Mytilus edulis: one gene and its partner. The protein of the gene in region 2 purifies or fractionates together with the protein of the main gene of each other region. This does not show direct contact. Links are inferred from orthologs where the notes say so. Each region holds a gene or a part of one and is shown on either strand. Other genes may lie near its edges. The genes, in order: cyclin-F-like and TAR DNA-binding protein 43-like.

Region 1 (13,572 bases), on a different chromosome or scaffold from region 2:
TGGTATGACGGATGACGTGGACGGACAATCTTCTAGGGTCGAGGACATTGGCGAAGACGCCAATCCTGAGGTCAAATCTTTATCACAGGAGTAACCAGGAGTAACTAATGAAAATCCTGATGCAAGAGGTGATGTGTTCATAAATGAGATATTCAAGGTCATTGTTTTGACATTTTTACTGGCAGATGTTGGTTGGATAACAGACTCTTCCTCTGAGCATGAGGAAGCATCAAATCCTTCATCAAGCTTGCTGCAATCACTGAATTCTGAAAAAAAACCACAAAACTTATTTAAACTATATAATCTTAATAAACACTGTAGTCAATTCAATAATCACTATTTCACGATATACTTAGATCTCAACTTGTTTACTTAACAGTTTTCTTCCTATTTTAGCATGGAATTTTGTATGTATTGGTTTATTAATAGTAGTGTCAGACATGTGTTCTTAAATTTAAATACAGTTGTTGATTCGGATGCTTCAATGGTTTATCCCTCATTTTATTTACAAATCGATCTTTTTTATGAAATTGCTTTACAAAAAAATCCATTTGCTCCATCATGATTGTAAGTCTCTCACTGAATCCAAATGTAAAAATATTACATGTAGAAGCAATACCTTGAAATACATTCTATAAAGATGCCTTTATTAATGTTTGAACCCTAATATTTTATAATTTCTTACCTTCTTCCTCTATAAAAGACTCATCTGCATCTTCTTTGTCACCATCATAACCAGACAAAACAGAATCATGTGGTCGAACTCCTTCCATTGTCAAACTATTAAAAGTTCTTCTTTCTCTCATACGGGAATATGGTCTGCAATAGAAAGATAAAAAATTAAGCCACATGTTTTAAACTTTCAAACTGAATCAAATTTCTAAAATGGTCTTCATTCTCATTTTTTTTAGCATTTTAAGTGCATTGAGGTTTTTTAACTTCAAAATCCTCTGTACTTTTACATTTTATGAAAATAAAATGTTTTATATACAAATTTTTAATGTAATTTTCAAATTTTTGTTATAATTTTGATGACATTCAAGATCTAATTATATTTTTCCTTTTGTTTTTTTATTTCATTTTGAGGATTTTTGTAAACTTGTATCTTATTTTTACTTACTTGTCATATTTCCTTTTCTTCCTGGAGGGAGATAAGATGAGCTCATCGTCATTCTTGAACTTGACACGCACATCACATCCCTGAAGTATGTGTTCTGTCACACCTAACATTATGCACAATTCTTCATAACTCATTATCTGAAATACACAAAAAAACATTAGAATCAAGGAGAGATATCATAATTATTTACTTCTACAAATTATACTTTTAAATGACATAATGGAGATAACTTATATTTAAATTTGCTACTTCTAGCATTTATAATATATTCATTTTCAAATGATTTATGTATGAATTTATTAGCAAATATTGTTTTTGTATGTTTTAGAAAACATTTTTCATGAATGCTATTGTTGAAGCTCATTTGATAAAGTGAAATGTAATTTACTTCATTTGACAAACTGTGTATACCAATGTGTTGTCTTTGTCTTGTAAAACGTACCTATATTTATTCTGTGTAACCCGTAGTACATTATAAACTAACACATGATAGTCAAGTCTTACCTGTATTTCACTGACTTTGTAGAACTTTTCTTCAGCATATCTAAGTTTAACAGACTGTAGTTTGACATCTCTATGATCCACAACTGATCCTTCCAAAAAGCTGAAATTGTAACAAAATGAGCATATCAATGACTTTTCTCCATCTTCAACTAACATAATGTTATAGTTACACAGACAATGCTTTCAAAGCATAACGTTTTGATTTCATTATTAAATTCAAGTACAATATATTTGTGGATTCAAAAGTTTTAAACACAAAATATTTTTTGAAAAAAATTGACAATCTTCTAGAAAAAACATAAACAAAAATTAAAGTTCTGATAGCAAAAATAAAACTTACCACTTTTCATGAAGATGGAATGCACATCTACTTATATCTTCTATCTTATATCCTGTAAATAAACTCATCTTTGATGGCCAAGCATTTTCTGAAAATAAATAAATAATAAACTTTTTATAACAGTATAAGGGAGATAACTCTAAAATAAATTGCAACTTTTCAGATCTCTGTCTTAAATACTAATAAAATTAATAGATGTTTTCCCTTCCTCACACTCATTTCTTCAAATTTCGATTTATTTATATTTGAAAAAAAAATGTCTTAGGATTAACAAACAAAGTATTTATGAATCATAAGCATCTTGTTAATACATACCATGCTTCATTAAGACACGAGCTAACAACACACAACTTGCAGCAATCTCTGCAGGGCTATATTGTCCCATCTCAGCCTGAAGAAGGCAAAGTTCACAGATGTATTCAGCTAAGTAACATGACTTCTTATCCAGATCACAGAGTATACAGAATATCTCAACTAAATCAATGCTAGTGATTGTCCTAATGTTGCCCTTCAAGGTAGCAGCTATCTCGCCCATCATTCTGACAATATCTTCATATTTGTATGTACTGTCTGTCAGCCATGCTGCCTCTCTAATTGTGATAATGTCTTTGCCTAAATATCTGAAAAAATAAATTTAAACATTAATTTCATATATCAATGGGGTTTTCTATTTTGTGACCTTAAATTATTGAAACCATAAAAAAATACATCATTTTCAATTCATGTTTGTTTTATTTCAATTTTAACTTGTTCAATTAGAAAGTCAATTAACCAACTTCTATTGAAGGTTTATATATTATCATCAGCAACATCAAAGACGTCAAAATGTATGGTTACCTTCCTTAGAACGACACAAAAAACAACATTTTTATGTTCTATGCATTGACTTAAAAAATATTACTCACCTTGAACAAAGAAGCATAGCAGCAACACCTAATAATTGCAGTTTGGATCGAGATGTTTTGTGAACTTTTAAAAATCTATCCACCATACTAACGGCTACATGGAGTGTATGACTAGAGAAATCTTTCATCCCTGCTACTTCTACTAACCAGTCAACAAGAATGTATCTGAAATAATTGAAAGAAAAAAAAAACACGTTAATAGGGAATTTATACATGAATATTATATTTCAATGTGAAAATCAAGTTCTAGGATAAATATATTATATTTCTAATATTGTTGTTTTGATACGCTAATTTAAAATTACATTAAAGATAAATACAGTTTAAATGATACTATGATGTGATGATGTAGTATTTTTTTTTTTTTTTTTTTATTCATACAGTGTTGGATGCTTTAATTTCATGAATTTACAGACCATACACCAAGCAATTATAATCACATTTAAAAACAAGAATAACCAAATTTCCTGAATTATTATTCTTACCTCATAGATTGTGTTAATTCCTGTGAGGTTTGAAAGCAGTCTTGTGTGTTTGTTGGTGATGTTGTCTGTACCAAATCTTTTACAAAGATAGCTGCCTGGTGTTGAGATAAACCTCCATATTTCCCATGTGCGTAGAATTTACAGAGAGTCAGTTTAGCTTCAAGATAGCCTAAAGAAGTCAAATCCCTCAGTTCTCGTATACTTGTTAATTCTGTTCCTTTGTCCATTACCTATGAATTAAAATCAAGATAGATAAAAATCATCATAGAAAAATAATAAATAAAAAAGTATGCATTCTTTTTAAAACTTTTGAAAAGAGATAATAAATCATTAACTCAAAATCAAGTTCATGGGATTTTCATTCTGATCATTTACAGTTTTTTCATTTTTTTTAATGAAATATATTTCAGCATAAATATCATTTTACAATTCAATTGACGGACTGTAAGAAGTAATGTTCATTTTGATTTCTCTAAGTCTTTGTTTGTATTTACCATTTTATCATATTTCTGTTGCCAGAACATAAATGCTGCCACGCCTGATCCAAGTTCAGCGCCATCCTTCAGATACTGGAATATCTCTGTTTTATCTTCTGATTCCAGTAACATTAATGTCCTAGCTACACATACATGGATATTTTTGTCTTTTGTCTGAAATAATCAATATTCAATGTTAAAGGTTATTGATTCAATTGTGTCATTTGATTTATATTCAAAAGGCACATTCAGTGCTGATAAAATAAATGTTTTACAACAATAATTTTGTAGAAAGATACTACCTCATTGACAATTATCGTAAATCAACATTCATTCATATTTGACTTATTTCCCCTTTTGTGTCATTAACTCAAGAAAAATAAAATGCAAAAAATCAGATTTTCCAAAATTAAAGCAAGCTGATTATATGTTTAAAATGTCCATCATACTTTTCCCCATACTTAAAAATGGTTTGAAAGGTGTTTCACAATAATTAAACCTTATGTCATGAAACTGTAAACATCTCAGACCATTGTCATGAAAATTTCAGTTAATCCTCTGGTCAATTTTGGTCGCAAGATTTTTTTTTAGTAATGCGCTGCTGGTATTATCATTCCTTACCGTTTTAATAAAATCTTTCATGTATTTGAAGACACATTCTTTGCAGCAAGCACCATTAACAGACCATGGCGGTCGTATAAACAGCCATGTAAAAGGATCTGTGTTTGGACTTAGTCCTTCAATTCTACAAAATATATCTGCTGCCTTCTCTCCATTGTTGATGGTCTTCTTTCCTTCCAAATCGGTAGGTACTGAAACAAAAAATTAAATCATATATAATTAAGCTTTCAAAGTATTATTTCATTATCTTTTACTATTAGCACACAAAAAAATTAATTTGTTTTCTTGATTTGGAATTGTTTCAGAAACCAGAACAGACCGGTATGGTATTTTTGGTCAGAGGAAATAGATGAGGCAAAACTAAAAATTATGTGTTGATTGTCTTTAACCTAAACTATAATATTTATTTATTTAGTTTTTCAAACCCTATGTGCATATTTCTTAATTATAGCTTGTACATAAAAACAGCTCTACCATATTGCTTTTCTTTTTTAATCTAATCATGAATTGTTTGTTTAATTGATTTAAGTTACATTTTCTTTTCATCTGTTCATTTTCTTTTGTCAAAACTCTGTTTGTTATAACAAAAAAATATAAATGAACCTGCTATTTTACGTCATACATTGTACAAGTTTTTGTCAGAAGAAATTAACACCTTTATATATAAAATCAACAAAGGGAAGACAAATTTACATGTTCATTTCACACCCCATGTCCTGCGTAAACAAAAAGGACAAATATATAAATAACTTTGTGATAAAAAGGTCTACTTACATCCTTCATTATAGAGGTAGGCAATGGCCATTTTGATCAATGCTTCAAGATTTCCCAAATCTCCAGCTCTGAAAAAGAAACGAGGGTTTAATATATATACAGTGAATCACTACAGCATAATAATTTTAATAGAATAAAACTAAATTATGAACTTGAAACATCAAAATTTCTTTCTATTAATCTATGTTACATATATCTTGAAATGTGTATTCATATGCATACTCTGTCATTTCAACCAGAGTATAGGGGAATGAAACAACATCATCATGTGTAGGTGTAAAAATAACTCATTGCATTGCAAGTCTTCATCATGACAGTTGCTGATGCAGTGTTTGTACTCAAATTATAAACTAGTTCAATGATACTTACTTCTCAAAATGTGGAATGTTTTTCAGTGACGGCCATTCATCTTGAAAACTTGTGGAATTCCAGATCACAGAACTGTTTTCTATTAAATCTTTAAAGTATGGGTGAACCTGGGGAAAGAAAACACTAGTTATTTCAGAACTACTTAAATTGTTATTATTTGTTTTATGTGAATTAATACATAAATATTGAGTCAATGTAAGCAAAATTCTATGCATTCTTACAAAATGATATGAAATTGAAAAATAAATAATAAAAATATTTTGAAAATTTAAACTAACTCTTAACTAACTAAAGTTTTGTGACATGTATCTGAGATGAAGCAGACTATTTGTTGTTGTACATAAAATTAAATCACAATATTATAAAAATATACTTTACTTACAGCTCTCAAATTAAGAACATCTCTGATGTGTAATCCTTTAATAATATACAGCAAAAGTTCTTCAGGTAAATTCCATATTGTCATCTGACTCCGTGTTCTTGGACGAAGATGCATGTGGACTGGGATAAATGTGTTTGGAGACTTTTGAAATTTGCTGAGTGCATTTAGAACTGTAAAAAAATAATGAGCATACATGTAAATTGGTTACAACGGGAAATATGCATGCATGTAATTTAAGTATTAAGTGATTTTGCTGTAAAAAATAAACATTCATAGAATTCTAAAACTTTAAAATTTAATTTTAGCACTTGAATTACAAATGTACAGTAAACATTTGATGCATTTTCATAATTTTACAATGTTGCTATATTTTGATTATGAATTATAAAAGTACTTACGAATTTTTACAAACATGGTTTTCATATAAGGAATGTCAGTTATGATAAAGTTCAAATAAGATCCACATCAAGTATAAGTTATGCAAAATTATCATGAATGTTGAAAGTTTATTTTTGTCATTGAAACATCGATACCGTGAACCTACCATTTATTTTTAGTAACAAGCAGGGTGTCCCCGCTTTTGATTGGTTGTCAATGTAAACAAGCCGGCACTTGCAAAGGTCGATAACCAATGAGCGATTTGAAAATAAACGTGTTTCAATGACACTAATGAATGCTATTCATAATTTATTTAGCACAAGTCTGAACATATTCATCGTCGTATACACCTGTTATCAACTAATAATTAGATAGGTAAAAGTGTTTGATACATGTGATAACAAGAAATCAATAAAACAATAAAATTGTTCGATGAATATCAAACATGTTTATCATTTTGTCTTCGACAGTTCGACTGGACTGGAGCCAGTGGATGTCAGTTCACAAGTTTTCGTCACTTAACATTCTATATTCTTGCAAATGGCACGTCAAGTATGTTACAATGACCGTCAATCACTTTGTTTACCATTTAAATTTACGATAAGCCTACTCAAATTTGGATCACAAGCTGGACCCTTCCTGCATTTGACTGCTTGATGAGTAAACAGAATGCACTCGTCTTTGATGGACTATTGTGATTACTTAAATCTTTATATATCATTATATGGATACGAAGAAACATTTTCATTACCCGAAAAAAATGGATTTTATTATTTTTATCGTGAAAGTTGTAGAGTTCAAATGTTATGATGCATTTTCAGTAACATCGTTTATAACAAAATTAATTTTTGAAACACGCCTTGAAGAAACCGTTATTGAATAGCACATTTAACTCTTCTTTTCCAAAAAGATCTATTTTCTTATGTTGTTATTACTTTCCATTGACAAACTTTCAAAAATTTAAACCGCCCATAATATTTGCCCTGTTATGACCTTTCACTTTCTTTTCTTTAATTTTTATAAATGGCATTTTTTATTGAACATGTAACTTACCTTTCATTACTCTGAATTGCTATAAATTTCATAAATTTAGGCATAAATACGTTATCCAAAAGTTTAAACTCCGAAAAAGTGATGCACCCTATCTTGTCAAAATTAAACACCAACAATCCGAATATACTCGACGCTGATTGGTCAAAATTGTTACACTCGTTTACAAACGAGAGGAAATGGGCTTTCCCCGCCTTTGTGATGTTCATTCAAATATTTAAAAATTGGACACGTGTGTACACAACAGCATCCTCATCGCATACAGTCGAATTAAATCTTTTTATTGCAATTTACTCATAATTTGTTCTAAGAATTTAATTCTTTATATGAAAAATGTATATTGACATTGAAATCCCTGATGGTGATAAAGAAAAGATGCTTTATTATTTTTTTAAATAGGTCACAATCGGGAATCAGATAATTTTTAAACTACAATTTAAGGGGGGTCATTTAAAAAAAGAAGAGAATTTAGACATTAACAATTATTTACTTGTTGTTGAGAATCAAAGAAAATTCGTAATGGGCTACATCAAGTTAGAAGATATCTGATATTTATGTGAAAATGAAATTATTATCTTTATAACGTCATATATATATTTTTAATATTGAAATAAAAATTCGTTTGTTATTTTCATCGTTGAATTTAAAATATAAGGACGCAGATTTAGACATATGTTATTGGTGGCAAGTTAACGGAAGATATACTGGTCAGTCCAAGGATTTTCAGTCTTAACGGAACATATGTAACTGTCCATAATTACATAATATGTCAGCAGATTTCATTTGTGTGAAACGTGTATAAATCCGTCTTTCCCTTAGGGTCAGTTCAATAACTGTAATTCTATATTGTAAATGTATGATCAAATAATGTTTTAACAGCAATCAACGACTGCCTTCGGGTAGCGGCAAAAATAAATGTGTCAAACCAAACACTTACGATTGGAAAATAAATTACCCATGTTTGTCTTCTATTTGTGATCTGATTCTGATGTTAAGATCTTTGAAATATGATGAAAATAATTTTAAAATTTAATATATATATAAGGAATAAGATGTATTGAATATAGTACTTGAATCATCATCAAATTGAGTGAATTGGGTTCAGGACTATGTTGGTCTACTTCAAAGGAAAAGATTAATTGGTGATTACGGCCATACTGTGCCGTGTCTGATCCTGTCGTGGACACTGCAGAGATTTTCACACTACATCAGTGTAATTAATTGATTTGTTGACCATTGGCCAGGTTAATTATATCAATATGTGCATGCAGTGAGATCAGTTAGTTCATTAATTTGATGATCAGTTTAATAGTAATTGCATTAATGAAATTGAACGTTGAAGTTCTTTTGTTTTCACTAGCTGTTAAAATTCAATTTATTTTGTTCAAAAATTTAGATCTCTTTGTGCATATCGTCAATTGAAACTATAATTTTGACAATACGTAACTATATTTATTGGCGTCCAAGATTTATAAAAATGGTTAATGCAACACTTATCTTCACGAATTTTACAATAATTTGGTCATTTCACACTATTTCGCAATAGACTGTCCTTGGACTGTCATACTAATATAATGGTCACATATTTAGCACATCTCCGAAAAAACATATTATATAGCTGAGTATGTAATAAAGAATATAATAAACCAATATGTCAGTTTAGTTGTTAATTATCACAATTAACATCATCACCATTTATTGAGTTTATCAGACTTGTTAATTGCATTCGACTCATGATGATGACACGCGTGCCATTGTAATTTGATTATTATAATATCAAAGATTAAATTTGGTCAAGGATCACTCGACAATAAAAGATACAGCAATACAAACAAATATAGTATAAAACAGACATTAGAAAGTGGGTTATAAAAATGCCTTACTAAAAGTTTTTATAAACAATAAAAAAAAATATATATAAAAAAAATTTACAGCAATTTTTCGTCACATGTTTTTTTTTTACGGATTTGTTGTTTTAACACATCATAATGACACTGACATACATAATCATAATTTAAAGTAATAATATTTATAATCACTTTAAAAATAAAACCATGTCAAAATGATTATCATGGATTAAATGATAAGAACAAGGACATACCCTTAAGATAAACTATCAATCATTGACTATGTTCTTCACAGTTTAAATAGTCACTATCAATTTAATGACATGTAAGATATGAAGAAAAGGGGTTGTAACGGTACAACTAACAACAATATCCTTGTTGTCTTTTGAAAGCTTCAAAATATTAAATTAAAGAATACATCGATGATCGTCTTGCAATGGCGAGTTATCTCGGACAAACCAAGACACTGCTTTAAGTCAAGACAACGCTTAATTGTAATCGGTATACTAAATAGGTTTAAACAATACACTTTTAAAAACCGATTACTTATATATATCAGATCGAGAACATCTTATAGTAATGTGACATAGATATGAACCCCGCTTTGTACATAACCGACATGGCGACCATGACTCTGTGTTTAACGTGCTATAAGTAACTATAGGTGAAGTTCACAGGAAGACATCTTATTACTCTGCCCAGACACACAGTTCTGACCCTGCGATCAGACACGTCTTTGCTCTTAGTGCCGTCTGTGCTTAGGGGAGTAGCAGCAGATATCCACAATTTTCAAGTCTATAACTTTAACCGTCCGGAATTAAATTACGACCGTTTGCATAGGAAAGTAGCAGGCTTCCAGGAGACAAACATGGTGGGTTAAAGAAAAAAGAGACAAGGCATAAATGAGATAAAATATTACAGTTAATATTTTTTAGTTGATAATATAACTTTACTTAAACTAGTACACTTCATTTTAAAAATTTCGGAAAGAAGAAGCAGTATGTTTTTTATTTGCATTTTTTGTTTGTAAAATGCATAACGTCTAGAACGAACGCCAGGCACTAAAGACGTGAGATGTATAAATACTGAATAACCATTCAAAAGAAGGAGCCTGTAATTCAGTGATTGTCGTTTGTTGCTATGTTGCATATTTGTTTTTCGTTCATTTTTTGTACATTAATTAGGCCCTTAGTTTTCTCGTTTGAATTGTTTTTGTCATTTTTCATTGCTGGACCCTTTCTGAAATACTATGCGGTATAGGCTTTGCTCATTGTTCAAGGCCGTACAGTGACCTGTAGTTGATAATTTCTGTGTCATTTGATCTTTTTGAATGAGTAGTCTCGTTGGCAATCATACCACATCTTCTTTTTCATAATAGCAAACGATATAAATGTATTGTATTTTACATGTACGGTTTTTTATGAATTATTAGGTGTCTTCATTTTTAAGAACAATTATTAAATGCTTATAAGGAGTAAGCATGTTGTCATGAAGTCACACATTTTAAAAACATTTAATTTTGTTCAAGTTACATGCGTATATTGGTTATTTGTGTTTGATTTAGAATTGACAGTATTTGTACCAAGAGCGATAACTCTAATTTGTTCTTATGACTTGAACGCAGAGCACAGATAGATAAATGTCTACTTGACCAAGGATTTGTATAGTATTGTTTACTATACAAATCCTTGACTTGACTAATCGGTTGACTTCATTAGTTCAGAATTAAGGTCTTAGTATTAACAAAACTTATATCTACACATGGTTTTCATATGGTATATTCCATTCCTTGGATTTTTTTTCACTTATTTTATTCGAAGCAAGGAAATTATCTAAAGGCTTCTATATTATTTTACTGATACAGGAAAACAGGTGAACCTTCATTATTCATAAGGATACTATTATAATGTTCCCTGTCTCAGCATTCTTACTTGCATATCACCACCACAGAAAAAAAGACACGTTGAGAAACTGCGACGAGCTTACTGGAAATATATAGAGAGTATAGTAACAACACAACAGATCGATCACAAACTTTAAGGCACTAGCAAGGAGCATTTTTGAATCAACATAAAACAAGATACCGTGACGTTTAAAGATATTATATGTCTCTGATCAAACAAAAGACCTGAAATTTGATAAAAACTTTATCAACACGCAGATAGATTTCAGCAAAGCATTTGATAAAGTGTTGAACACAGTCTATTAACACATGAATTTGGATCCAAAAGTTCCCAAGAGACAGAAAACAAGCTGTACTCTATTGTAATGGAATTTGATGCGATTGTCATAGAAGTGAGAGGTTTAGCTACTTTAAAACCAGGTTCAATCCACCATTTTCTACATAAGAAAATGCCTGTACCAAGTCAGGAATATGACAGTTGTTATCCATTCGTTTGATGTAAAAGAGCTATTGATTTTGCCATTGATTTGGGACTTTCCTTTTTGAATTTTCAAGGAGTTCAGTATTTTTGTGTTTCTTCTTTTTGTGACAAAATAATTGATAAAAATCTCAAACTAGGTTGGACACTTTTATTAAACGTTGAGTGGTATCAATATCATTACTACAAATTATAGTTGGGTAGAGAGATGAGAGAAAAGAACAATAAGCAGACCATGCTATATTACAAACATATCAACAAAATTTCAATATTTCAACACCTATTGTATTCTAGATTTTCCTGTTGCTGATTCCAGCCTTTCTTCAATTGATTGTGAGTTTGCTTCCTCCTTTATTGTGCATGGTATAAGTCAATACGATAGCTAGAGTTTCACGCTACGATAATAGTTGTCACAATAGAACAGTGTGAGGATGTTTAAAGTGACAGGAACATCAACAAAGCCTGGAAAAATTTTTACACCTCTGAATTACAGTAAGGAGGTACAGCATAAAAAAAGATACAGCATTTTATCAGTTGAACATTTTACCTGAAGGCCAGATCGTTAACCTAAAATTTCAACAAAAGCCACCTGAAATCGAGGATACAACTATACCGTGTGTGCAGGAACCGTGGACAGTTCCACCGCAAATTAACTTTCAGTCTGTTTTTTACCAACCAACTGGATCTGTATACCAATCAACAACCAGTTGACCGCCTGTTGTGTCGAGAACTTTACAGCCAACAAAAGTTGATCGATCGAAAATTCCGCACACCTTGCTGGTTAATTCAAAAGGACCAACAACAACTGGACCAGCGCCACCATCTCTTTCAAATACTGGTACTCCGTTGGCAGTTAATACACTCCCGCTGCCTCCTTTACAGACACCGTCTCACCTTTCAGCCAAAGCTGTATCAACTACAACGACAGCAGTAACAGTTGGGACAGCAGCAGCAACAACCGTTCCAGCTACATCTACATCAGCAGTTTCGATAACATCTGCACCAACAGCAGCAGTCCCAACCATATCATCAGTAATTTCAGCAGGTTGGACAATAATACCTTCCCATGCTGAACATCTATCTTAAAGATTGAGAAATTTATAGGCGACAATTCGCAAAATCCTGAAACATGTTGAAATGATTAAAAGCAATATTGTTCATGTTATGTCGTGGAATTGTCAAAACAAAAGACTGCCGAGTCATCCCCTTTCCATTTAGGACACCATGTCAGAATTAAGTATGTCACTTTTTAACTAATTTTGACGAATTGCATGATCTGTTTTCAAAGAAAGATTCAAAGAATAGCAACGTTTGTTATATATATATATATATTTACACCTTACAATATTACAAATTCATCAAGAGGGACTTAATTTATCAAAGTTGTTAAAACTCATAGAAATATATCTGACCATATATTACTGAATGGGTTAAGGTCTGATTTTAAAACAATTGTCATGACAAAAGAACTCCAAAACATATAAAAGTTTATATATTGTCTTAATTAGCAACTGTTTTGTTTGTTCTGTCTTGTGGTAAATATTGTACATAATTGAGTATTTGACTGTCTTCTCTATATCTATGTATATGTTTTATTGAGAATAAAGATATATATATAGTTATAGCTTGTCGCAATTTTAACCAAAAGGACAGTGAACCAGCGAACATACATATCTTCATTTTGTCGAAGACAAGTGCCTGTTTACATATGCTTTTTTAAATACCAATCATAAATGGACTTCACATTTTATTGTTTTGAAGTGACATTAAAAAAATAGAGACAAAGTATACACGAGGGATAGGGTCCTTAATTTCTGTATTCTCTATTTTTATGCCACTTTTCTCTATTCTTCTTTATATTTTTATCCCATTATTCTCTTCTTTTTTTGGAAATGGGGAATGTGTCAAAGAGATAACAACCAGACCAAAGAGCAAACAAC
Region 2 (12,942 bases):
ACATGTTACCTATAGAACACAGAGTTATGGTGATTAATTTATTGTGGAAGGAAGAGAAGCGATACACAAAATAAGGTCTTCTCGTTTAATAGTATAGATTATGAAGTGCCTGTCATAGATAAATCCATGCAAAGTCATCCAGAACCAAGGTTACACGATCTTCTTCATATTCTGTTACAAGGAATGTTTAGTCATGTAATGATTTCAGAAGGAAAAAAAAACAAAAAGTTCAAGGATTTACATTATGAAGGCAGGGCTGTTACTAAAAATAGAAATAGATAAAAGGTTAAAAATACGCTATGTTTGATAAAATAGGTCTCTTATATCCATTAAATGAACATTTTGTAGGCATTCTAGTACGATTTTATCAAAATTATGAACCAATATGGTACTTATGATTCAGAGATGGGTCCGATTACTTTCAATGTAATTGATTAAATTACAATTACTTTGTCATTTGTACGATTAAATTAAATCAATGATTACATCATTTCTGTAAGTATCCGATTAAATTAATGATTACATTTGCAAAGTAATCATGATTACATCTGATTACAATGAATTAAAAAAACATTTTGAATGAGGTTAATGAATTATAACTTAAAATTTCATCTATTTAATAAATCTCAAAAGTTCACTACATACACTGACATATATACACGAAAATTGTGTCACTGGTCATATTGGTTATGACTAATTACACTTTATCATCATTGATCTCTGAATTATGTCGACTTAAATTAAATAAAGGTTTATAAAGAGTTAGCTGTTTGTTTACTTTCCTCTTCCAGACTTTATATGTATTTCAAGATGAGTTTATGGAAGTTAAAATATAGATGAAATAAAGCTACCAAGTCAAAATTTTAATATGATTATTTAGTCAAATTGTAAACAAATTATGAGTACTAAAAATCATTGCATTTTTCATGTCCAGTCCAAATACATACTAACATCTATTATAGATGTATAGATATATAGGTGAAAGACCAGAAGAAAGACTTTGCAAATTTTGCACTGCAGACGTGTCAGAAACTGAAACTCATTTTTTACTAGACTGTACATTCTATTCTGATATACGAGAACATGTTTTTGGTGAACTTTTGTTAACGACTTCCTTTGTTTCTATGAACATTAATGAAAAACTTATTTTTTTAAATATTAGCCATACTCGAAAACTAGCCAAATACATTGTACAGGCATATTCTAATAGACGAAATTTTGTTTACAAATAGCTTAATATCTATATATTTTTATTTTAAAATTAATTAAAGGTTAACTTTCGTCAACAAAAAGATAATTTCATGAATTATAATTTGTTATTTTGAAGAACGTGATATATTGTTTTAAAATTACTTAATTTCATTTGAGGTGACTTACAGGTCCATTGGGCCGGGTGTATTAATATTTATCATATATTGTATATTTATAATCTGTACATATTTACACATGTCACTATAATAAATAATTTACTTACTTACTTACTTACTTACTTACTTACTCTATTTATTTTAAACAACATTTTAATTTGGTTTGTGCTAATTAGATAAATTTCCAAATGTATAATTATCTTTTATCATATATATTGCCCTACAGCTATACACAATAGAGTTGATAATTGCAATAAAAACAAACCTTAATTGATCTCCTACCTGTCAATTCAAAGTTGACAAAAATCACAATATTTACAAAAGATTATAATTCAGGGTTAATGAAAAATATCACTTGAATATAACAATAACTATCAAATGTATTTATGTACATCTTTAAATTGTGAATATATGTACAATATCTTGTATTAGGGTCAGAGACATATATGTTTCTGCTAAGGCTAATGATGACTTTTCAACACTGCGAGAGCTTAGTTTTTACTGAATTATACAAATCAATTAACATGCTTAAAGAAGACAAAACTATTTCAACATGTTAAATAATCATTTAATTTGAATACCTACAAGGTTAATTTATCAAACACAGTTTTAGATTTTTTGCATTGTAATCAGAATGTAATCAAAAAGTAATCAGGATTACAGGGTATTTTGAAAAGTAATTGATTAAATTAAATTACATGTAATCAGATTTAGGGCTGATTAATGATTACAATGATTACTTGAAAAATTGTAATCAATAACAGCTGATTAATGATTACAATTACAATTACCCCAACTCTGTTATGATTATGCTATTGTTGACCTCTCAAATTTACTTAAAGTTAAAGTGCAGAAAGGTCACCAAAAGGTCAAATTTAAAAAAAAAATGCAAAAATTCAGTATTTCAAAGTTTTCCCAGGAATAGCGAGGATATTTATTTCAAATTTTGTCTTTTAACTATTTTTTTTAGCTTTATTTACAAAATATGAAGAAGAAAAAAATGTCTCCATGAATTTTATTCATCTTTCAACGTGCAGACAGATGTACTTCTATGTTAAATCTTGCATGCCCATTATTTTGTATCAATTCGCGTTGTTTTCCTTTTTTGTTCCTCTTAATTATGTCCCAGTCACACTAAACCACGATCGCACCACGTTCACCGCGATCAAAAATAAATTCAGATCGTAGTGAGGTCGCGGTATGAGCGGCATGAAAATGTAGATTTTCGTTGTTTTCACGATGCTACTTCGTCCTCATTACGCTTCTTCAACGAGCCCGATACGATTATACCCCGTTCTACATGTTCTAACCATGTTCATTCTGCGACCTCACTACGATTATCACGATCTTACTACGCTCATCACGTTCTCACAGCGACCATACCACGATTTATCCGATTATAACATGATCTTACCACGCTTCTTCTGCGATTATATTACGCTCTTACCACGATCATTCTACGATCTTACCACGTTCATACCGCGATCCAACTACGCTATTAGCAATATGTTCCATATAAATACTGTTCCATTCCTTCCAATTGTCATTAATACGTAAAATTATTGAAAACCACACGAGCATGCCACCAACATCTACAAGGAGTAGTGGGCGTGGTGGTAGGGGTAGTGGTGGAGTCAAAGGGGCCTCTCATACGAACCATGATCCAATAGAGATGTCGGATCAACCAATCGAGACCTGAATCACAACGTATTGCTGATCCATCATTCAAGATCAAATGACGATATTGTATTGAACATTAGTGGGAATGATACAGATGTGTCAAGAATGATTGAATGAGCTGTTGAAAATTAGAGACATAAGGTCCAAATTACATAACAGACAAACAAAACATGGATAGCTGTTATATAGTTTAAGTGAAAATGACTATGAGCATGGCTAGAACTGGAAACGTTCGTAGTATGAACGTAGTCAGGTCGTAAGACGAGCATTGCGGATGAGGACGGCATGAGCGTGCTAAAACCGTACTATGGTCTTGAACAGCGTAGTATATACGTGGTATAGTCGTAGTAGTAGTATATGCGTGGTATAGTCGTAGTAGTAGAAGCGTTGTTGGGTCGCGGGGAGAACTTGATGGTCGTATTGAGGTCGTCGTCACATCGCTGTGAGATCGTAGCGCAATCATCTCTCTGATTAGAATCGCGCTTTCGCTACGCTCCCATCACGATGGTACAGCGACCATTGCGATCTTACTACCACCTTACTGCGCTCTCGCTACGCTTCTACTACAACCCGATTTCACCACGATTGTTTTGAACATGTTCAAAGTTGGCCACGATCATCACGATCATAAAGAGGATAAAGACCTCACCATGACCGTAACACGACCTTACTGCGATCTACATTATCGCACTACGATCGTCAAAATTTGCATTTTTTAGAGATCGTAGTGCGATCGTGGCTAAAGCTAGGTTCTCATTGGCAATCATACCACATCTTCTTTTTTTATATTTACAAATTTATATCTATATGACACTACTGGTCTAACGTCAAAGTACTCAAGTGCATCGAGTACACTTATTGCACCTAGTCAACAAAAAATAGCTGCGGAAATCCTACATTTGTCTAACAGTTCAGTTCAGTTCAGTTGCTTGTATATTCCTTCATTAATTGTGGAGCACTACCCAAAAGGTATAGTTTTAGCAACTATGTACACCTTAAAACATAAGGAAACATTTAATTATATACAGATGACTGAATTTGGTTATAATAATCACTAAATAATAAATATCATAATTAATTCATAGGGTTGTCATCATAAAGTTTAAAAAAAATATATTAAATTCATATGTGCTGGGGTGTAAGAAAACGTTAAGTAACAACTGCATATATTTACAAATAAGAATTAAAATGGTCTCGTATTAAACTTACTTATAATTATTAGTTAAGAGTGCTATACATATATCAGGATCTATAATGAAAATGTCATTTTATAAGATTTATGTAAAATGGTTGGGGTTTGGAAAAAATTAAAGCTATAATATATACATAAATTTTCTTCCCAGTTTGATTTACTATATGGAGATCTTATCATTATTTTTGAAATTATAACTGATATCTTGCAATTTTTAAAAAGAGAAGATATATTTTTAAATACTTATAAGTCATAATTTATTTATCCAAATAAAGCTTCAGGACCAGACAATCTAAAACCAAGAATACTAAAAGAACTTGCAACCGAGATAGCCCAAATTCTAACTATCATCTTTACAACATCACTTTAATACTGGGGAGGTACCATCTGACTGGAAGAACGCCAACGTAAGTCCAGTCTTCAAGAAAGGAGAGAGATACAAGGCAGAGAATTATCGACCAATATCTCTGACATGCATCTGCTATAAACTCATGGAACACATAATAACTAGTCATATTATGAAACATGCAGATATCCACAACATTCTTTATCCATTACAACACGGATTTCGTAGCAAAAGATCATGCGAAACCAAGCTGATTGAATTTGTGGATGACATCACAAAAAACATGAGCGCATGAAAGCAAACGGATGTTCTCATTATGGACTTTTCGAAAGCCTTTGATAAGGTTGGTCACAGTCTCCTGATGCATTAGCTGGAACACTATGGTATCCGAGGAAATGTAAATAAGTGGATCACTAGTTTCCTGTCTAATAGAACCCAAGTAGACAGTAGTTGTGGATGGAGAAAGTTCATCTCGTATTGATGTAGAGTCAGGAGTACCCCAAGGCTCAGTACTTGGGCCTTCATTATTCCTGGTCTACATTAACGACATGGCAGATGGAATTAAATCTACAGTCCGACTATTTGCAGAAAACACAATAGCATACCTCACGATATCATCAGACAAAGATGCACATGATTTACAGCTAGATCTGGACAAACTTGGAACATGGGAATCAAAATGGAAAATGTCATTCCACCCTGACAAATGCAATGTACTTACCATCAGCAGGAAAAACAACACAATTGCAACTTCATACAGCCTACATGGTCAAATTATTGAGTCAGTCAGTAGTGCAAAATACCTAGGCTGCACATTTACCATGTTTACATCCGATCTCAGATGGAATGAACATGTGAATAACATTTGAAACAAGGCAAATCATGCCAAGAAATCCTCGCTAAAAATTCCGGTCGACCCCCTACGGCAGTCATTAGTAGCTAAAGATTTGATTTCATTCAAGAAATTAATGTATAACCTTCATGTACGTGTCGCTAAGAACATGGCCATATACCAAATGGTCAAAATTAATCATCCATGTAATTTGCTCTATGGGGTGTTTGCAGAATTTCAACGGAGGCGCGAACAATTGGTTTCCTAAAAAGAAATTTAAATATAGGATCAACTACAGTGAAGGAGAATGCATATAAAACATTGGTACGTCCAATTGTAGAATATGCCAGTCCGGTATGGGATCCATATATCTCAAGACAGAGACTGACAGACTTGAGATGGTACAAAGAAGAGCAGCTCGCTACGTATCCAACAAACATCATAACCACTCCAGCGTTAATCTGATGCTACAACATCTCAAATGGACATCACTTGAACAAAGAAGGAAAGAAGCGAGACTCACAATGCTATTCAAAATAGAAAACAACAAAGTGGCCATATCAAAGGAAGGTCGTCTAATACCACTGAAAAGACTATCACGAAACATGCATGACAAATCCTTCCAAGTACCAGCAGCATCATGTGATTATAGGAAACACTCATTCTTCCGAAGAACCATCCGGGATTGGAACGCTCTTCCCCCTGGGGTCGTATCAGCTCCGTCAGTCGAGGCCTTTAAAGCCTCGATGACAAAGCTGAATTAAATTTCAAAATTTTTGGGGGAGGGGTGGTCTAATATGCGCACCAAACCATGGCAGTATAATCAGTTCGTTAAATGTGGCCATTATCTGACAGAAGCAGAAGCAGAAGCAGAAGTCATAAAATATTAAGATGATATACTATAAGTAAGGAACTATTTTATTTTAAAAAATTTACTTATACTGTACTTGTGATCAAGTTTTTTTTAATCCTTTTTGTGCGCAGCAAGTGCATCTCATAACACATATTTCTAGCCAGAGTTTCAATGTTTTCATAACAAGTTTTCTTTGAGAGAAACAGTTTGTATTTTTTATGATTTGACATTATGCATGTACACGTCTTTAACCATAGGTACATACATTTTTACATACATGTATATGTAAATATACACAAAATGTTCACAGTATATATGTACACTACAGTATCAACAGATGAAGCATTTACTGGAAAATGCGATGTTCACAAAGTCATCTTTTAAGAATGAGCAAATACAATATTTTCCAAGCATCTATTTCCAGAAAAATAAATATTAAGCCTGGACTAATGTCAAATTGTTCTAAATATATGAAGAAAAATGACAAAACATCTTTTATTCGATTTTAATTGGTGTGAATTTAAGCATGGATGCAATTTAGGTACTCTAGATCTTCGTCACAGAATCATTGATCGCTTATGTTGTAGGTCGATTCAAACTAGTTTTGCTACGATTCAATATCTCGAGTTCAATATATCATATCAGGAACATATAGATATACTGTTCCCAGATCATATATATATATTATTTTTACACCTTATACATTATGTATCAGTATTGTTAAAACTTGTGACACTTGAAGAAGGCCATTTGTTGAGCCGAAATATTTGTCAGCACGATTTAATAACAACATTTTCGTATTATAACATCTTATATCAGTACGGTTGTGCAAATCTTTAGACTGATATATATATATCATGTACTGTAGTACGCCGCTAGATTAAAACTGACGTGGAAAGGTAACACATGCCCACCGAAAGCTCTTTTTTTTGAGAGCCCAGGTGGTCGTGTGGTCTAGCGGGACGGCTGCAGTGCAGGCGATTTGGTGTCACGATATCACAGTAGCATGGGTTCGAATCCCGGCGAGGGAAGAACCAAAAATTTGCGAAAGCAAATTTACAGATCTAACATTGTTGGGTTGATGTTTAGACGAGTTGTATATATATATATATATATAGATTCAAAATTTAAACATGTTATTAAAATGGTGACTGGTGTAATATAAAGTAAATAAGGATATGTCTACCAAATAATAATAATAATAAAAAATCAGATTGGAAACTTTTTTGTGGACTTTAAATAAAAAAATGTAGGTGCAAAAATGTCAAAATAAGGTGCAATTTGAGTACCCTAATGTAATCTAGTATCATAAAGAGTTCAATGAGGTTTTACATTTAAACTCTGTAAAATCAATTAAGTACTAATTAAATAGCAAATAACTTATATCTCAATGAAAAGACTTATATGCAAGAAAAATTAAAATCGACTGTCCAATAAGAAATTAAAACAGGACGCAAACCAAAAGAATTTGTATTGGATATGCGCATGTTTATGCCATACCCTCCCCCTATTCACTGATTTGCAAGAACAAAGCATTACTGTCAATATCTTTTATGTTATTAAAAATGTTAACCACAAATTGTCAACATCTGCACTAATCAAGTATTCATTAAAAGATCTGAAAGTCACAGATTGAGAAGGAATCTTTAGATAGAACTATAGAAAAATTTCTAAAAGATTCCAGCGACAACCGATTGAAGATAAAAGAACGACAACTCTAAAATGAAAATTAAATTTTTTAGGTCACTAAAAGATGGCGCTAGTATCGCTTAAATTGTCAACAGAAGACGCCATCTTGGTACGCCGCGCACCTTCAGTTCGGGACCACAGTGGGTTACCCCAAAATTAGAGACATTTTTGATTCTCAATGCTCCGAAAGTGTGTCTAATTTATAAGGGAAATGAGTCAGTATATTCAAGTCGCAGAGGAGGAGGGCGAAGAGCCTATGGAAGTCCCGAGCGAAGACGACGGAACTCTCTTGCTGTCTACCCTGTCAGCTCAGTTTCCTGGTGCCTGTGGTTTAAAATACAGAAATCCCGATACCGGTGCTATGCGAGGCATAAGACTTTCAGACGGGAGATTATATCCACCTGATACGGAATGGGCAAACCGGATTTATGTTGCCGTGTTTCCTAAATGTAAGTGTTTTCAAATATTGTTTACAAACTGGAACCCAGTTGGCCTCCGAACATCAAGCAGACGCTTCGACAAAATCATTTAATTTTTCGAATTTTTCACAGAATTTTGATTAGTTAAGTATGCAGTATGATGCAGTAATCATTATTGTACATAACTGCATAGGTATTTTTGGCTACAGTATCAATTTATATGCTACTTTTAATAAAATATTGAAGGTCGTTGAAAACTTTGTGTTTGACAGCTAAGGGAGATAACCGTATTGTTGACGTTTTGCTTTTAAATATTTCAGTCTATATCTCTGTGGGATTTTTGTTTCTGGTCTATTTATTTATTCAATATTTTGATATGAATACTTCCTGAGCTAACTTAGTATAAAGGTGACTCCAGAATCCCTTATTTTAGTTAAGCTTTAAAATCATAACATGACAACATAACATCATGAACATATTGAAGACACTTAAAAAAGTAATTTAAGAAGTAAAAAGTTACACACTCATGTAAATGTTGAAATATCTGTATTTAATTTAGGTTAAAGGCAGATATTTAGTGTTAACATGTACATGTAGCTGCTTCTTAGAAGTGTACACTTTTACATCATAATTTCTTGACAGTTTATTCATCATTATTTAAACACTGCAAAAGTTGCTTTCAATACACACAAGGTCACTGGTGCATACCATGTATACATTTATATTTTAATAATTTATATTCAGGTATGAAGGTGGATATTAGAGTGGGTCTCATTGGGGTCTAAGCGTGACCCGGGATTGCCGATTTTTTGTAAGCGTGACACGTGAAAGTCAAATAATTGTGGCGTGAAAACGGGAAATTAGGTCTTGCGGGACACGGGAAATGACAAAAAAATGAGAATTGCTTATGTACATAGTGTAAGCGGGATACGGGAATCTGACAAAACAGTAAGCGGGATCCGGGATCGGAACCCCCCAATGAGACCCCCATTAGACTGCAGATTATTATATCAGAAATGTGTCTTGACCATGTTGACTGCCACTAGTTATTATAGATTATATTTTATAATTATTATTATATACTACATGTACAATGTACATAACAAATGTATAATAAATTTTAATACTGTTTTGTGGGTTCGAGATGTTGAATTTTCAGTACATTAGTAGGGTGATTTTTACCCTCCCACACACATCTCTGGTATCCATTCCAGACCGGAGTTTAAACTAGATTGGATACTTGGGGGGGGGGGGCCTCGGTAGGTCAAAGTTGTTCCCAGCTTGACCTGGAGATCAATCTTCTGAAATCTCTTCAGGTTGTCTGTTGCTGCAGAGAAGCCCTGTGGTTCTCTCCAAATACTTCAGCTTCCTCCACCATAATAACAGACTTTTAGGTGACCTACAAGCTCCCTTGGGTGGTGTTGGGGTGGAGATTGTTCTGGTGGTGGGTTAATAATGTAATCTAAAAGGACACATCTCCATTAATCCTTAGGGAGTGTACATGGATCCGCTGTACCCTTGTAGTCATTCAAGGGGTGCGTCTACACTGGCGGAATCTCGAAGTACATATATACATGTACATGTTATTACCAGATAATTAGAGATATGATTATAGTAGAAAAAGATTTAAAGAATATGATACACATGTATATTAACATGATTTATATAAACAACATTTCAGTGTATATGTTTCGAATATGTTACAAAAACAATGTAGCTTATAGTTTTGTCATATTTTAACATGTGTAAGGTGATAAAAGCATTGATCCTCATTTTATTATTATACAAAAGTCTTGTTATTTGTAAAAATCTAATCACTGTTCAAATTTTGCATTTTCCTGAAAAACTAAGATGTCTCCACAGTCTTTACACCTAACCACTGGCCCAGCAGCCTAGGCTTGTTAAGTTGCATTTGGGTCTTTAAAAATGATCTCTGACTACAGGCCAACTAAACCGATATAAAGTTTTAAAAAGATTGAACTTTGAAGTGTTTGACATGACTGAGATCAATGCAGAGACTCAGAGGTTACTGTATTTTTCTGCCATGTCAATTCTCTGTGACATGGCCGGGATTATTATGCTCTATGTACAATGTATGCAAATAGTAACTGCAACACTTTTCATAGATATCTGTAGGGGTAATGTTTCAAGGTAAAATTGCAAGTAAATATTTTCATGTATTTTCAGCTGAAAACAAAAAGAAACCTCATGCAACAGCTGTGGACCAGGAACCAATCAATGCAGACAATGCTGTCATTAACAGGAAGAAAATGTATGACAAAAAGAGATGCAGTGACCTTATTGTCCTAGGATTACCATGGAAAAGTACAGAAGAAGACCTGAGAAAATATTTTTCAAATTTTGGGGAACTGTTAATGGTCCAGGTTTGTACATTAAGTGTTTAAAACTTATATTCAGAACAGAATACTAGTTAGGTTTTCCTGTCAATTATAAACAATTATCTTAATGTATATTACATGTATGATTGCAGCTTTTTGTGTCTAGCAAGTGAATGAATGATGTGATGGAGAACATTTTTTGTTAAATGAATCGTAAATTAAAGGACCAATTGATGACAGCATCGAGAACAAACACAGCTGATCTCAAGCATTTAATCCTTATATTTGTACATGTACATGTCGCAAATATGAAATTACAAATTAAACCAATCTGCAGGTTTCACTTTGCATACTAACAAATGTATACATTTGTAGATCTTCTAAAATAATCAAGTGTAAAAGTTTAAGGTAGCACAATACAAAGATTTTATAACTCCAACTCCCAAGTTTCAAAATGCTGTAACTTTCTTAATAATGCTTGAAAATTTATAAAAGTGGTAGTTTTGGATAGCTAACAGATTACTCTTTCAAATTAATGCAATGTTAGTATCATGCAACAATTATGTAACCAATTATAATGTTAACTGTGTCTTAAATATTTTTCACCAAATTTCCACTTTCAAATGAAATTAGCTTCTGCATAGGTATCCCTAGAGGGTTGATTTTATTATATGTTGTTCCTATGGCCATTATCTACAAAAGGGTGTCTCAGATTTCAGATAGAATGTATAGAACAAATTTTACACCTACTTAAACATTATCTTCATTTATGTGGTTAGGATGTTTACACTAATTAGAGATTTATGAGAGAATGGAATACCATAGAGACAATCTGAGACACCCTTTTGAAGCCCATGATGTGTTGATTAAGATTTCGTTAAAATTTTCTGTATAGTTAAAGAGATGATAGAGCTAAATTCATTCAAGTGAACTTACCCAGATTTTGCCACTAATTACATAATAATTGATGACATAATGATTGCATAATAAAAATATTGCATTCATTTAAAAGATTAATCTTTTATCTATCTATGTATACCTCTTTTATTATTTTCTATGCATTCATAAGAAAGTTACAGCATTTCAAAGGTTAGTGATTGGAAGTAAAAAAATCTTTGTATTGTGCTACCTTAATTCAGGATAAAATAATATACAGATATATACATTGTATGTCATGTACATGTATGTTTATTGTCTGAAAATATTAAAAATTGTACACTAGCTACATTGTATAAAACAACAGAAACGCTTGGAGAGCTTTGTTTTTCGTTCCGTTCCTTGTATATTTACATGCTAGTAGGACAAACTTTACTATATTTGATAAATAACATGTTCTGTATAGATTTTATTATTTAATTATATTATTACCGGTATGAGCATAATGAGAGATTATACTTGTGTTTATGATATCAAAACATTAAAAAGCATGAACAAGTTATTCCGTGAAAGTTAAGTTTTGTAGTACATGTATCATAGTATGTACACATGAATACCATTATTGACTTGTCTAGTAAAACATCTTTTTGGTTATGTCAAAAAGTTTGATGCAGTTGAGTTCATTTCCACAATGATAAAGCTTCTTTGAACAAGGGAGATAATAGAGTTATTGTAACAAGGGAGATAACTCTTGATCTTTCTGTGTTTTTAAAGCATTAGAAATCTGTCATATATTCCTCTTCAGGCGGCAGACAGCAAAAAACTTACACTGTATAACGGTACTTAAATTTCCAAAATATTTAGACATTTATGTGTATGTGGAACATAACAGATGCAAATAATGTGTAAGCTTCCCCCTAAAACAGAAATCAAAATTCATTATATATTTTACAATTCATTGTATTAATCTATCTATATTTTATTTTCAATTCAGGTGAAGAAAGATCCTAAAAGTGGACTATCTAAAGGTTTTGGTTTCATTCGGTTTGGCGACTATGAATCCCAAGTTAAATGTATGACACAGAGGCACATGATTGATGGAAGATGGTGTGATGTTAGAATACCAAACTCTAAGGTAACACATACATGCACTGACACTGGTGTGATGTTAGAATACCAAACTCTAAGGTAACACATACATGCACTGACACTGGTGTGATGTTACATGTAGAATACCAAACTCTAAGGTAACACATACATGCACTGACACTGGTGTGATGTTAGAATACCAAACTGTAAGGTAACACATACATGCACTGACACTGGTGTGATGTTAGAATACCAAACTC

Evidence for each region.
Region 1: the proteins of TAR DNA-binding protein 43-like (region 2) and cyclin-F-like purify together in Homo sapiens (affinity purification with western blotting; 3 studies listed by BioGRID, with this or other methods). This does not show direct contact. The link is inferred for Mytilus edulis from reciprocal best matches to the Homo sapiens genes TARDBP and CCNF.

The regions. Positions count from the first base shown.
Region 1 is NC_092352.1:40,404,560-40,418,131, forward strand, and holds the start of cyclin-F-like, read right to left. Parts: upstream 6,532-13,572; 5' UTR 6,400-6,531; coding exon 6,375-6,399; intron 6,147-6,374; coding exon 5,977-6,146; intron 5,702-5,976; coding exon 5,595-5,701; intron 5,294-5,594; coding exon 5,226-5,293; intron 4,643-5,225; coding exon 4,452-4,642; intron 4,005-4,451; coding exon 3,849-4,004; intron 3,585-3,848; coding exon 3,355-3,584; intron 3,035-3,354; coding exon 2,870-3,034; intron 2,585-2,869; coding exon 2,280-2,584; intron 2,053-2,279; coding exon 1,965-2,052; intron 1,725-1,964; coding exon 1,625-1,724; intron 1,258-1,624; coding exon 1,121-1,257; intron 820-1,120; coding exon 686-819; intron 267-685; coding exon 1-266. UniProt on the Homo sapiens protein: Substrate recognition component of a SCF (SKP1-CUL1-F-box protein) E3 ubiquitin-protein ligase complex which mediates the ubiquitination and subsequent proteasomal degradation of target proteins.
Region 2 is NC_092356.1:48,443,626-48,456,567, reverse strand, and holds the start of TAR DNA-binding protein 43-like, read left to right. Parts: upstream 1-8,015; 5' UTR 8,016-8,170; coding exon 8,171-8,408; intron 8,409-10,565; coding exon 10,566-10,762; intron 10,763-12,587; coding exon 12,588-12,728; intron 12,729-12,942. Other genes in the region: uncharacterized protein, read left to right, coding at 5,774-6,181. UniProt on the Homo sapiens protein: RNA-binding protein that is involved in various steps of RNA biogenesis and processing.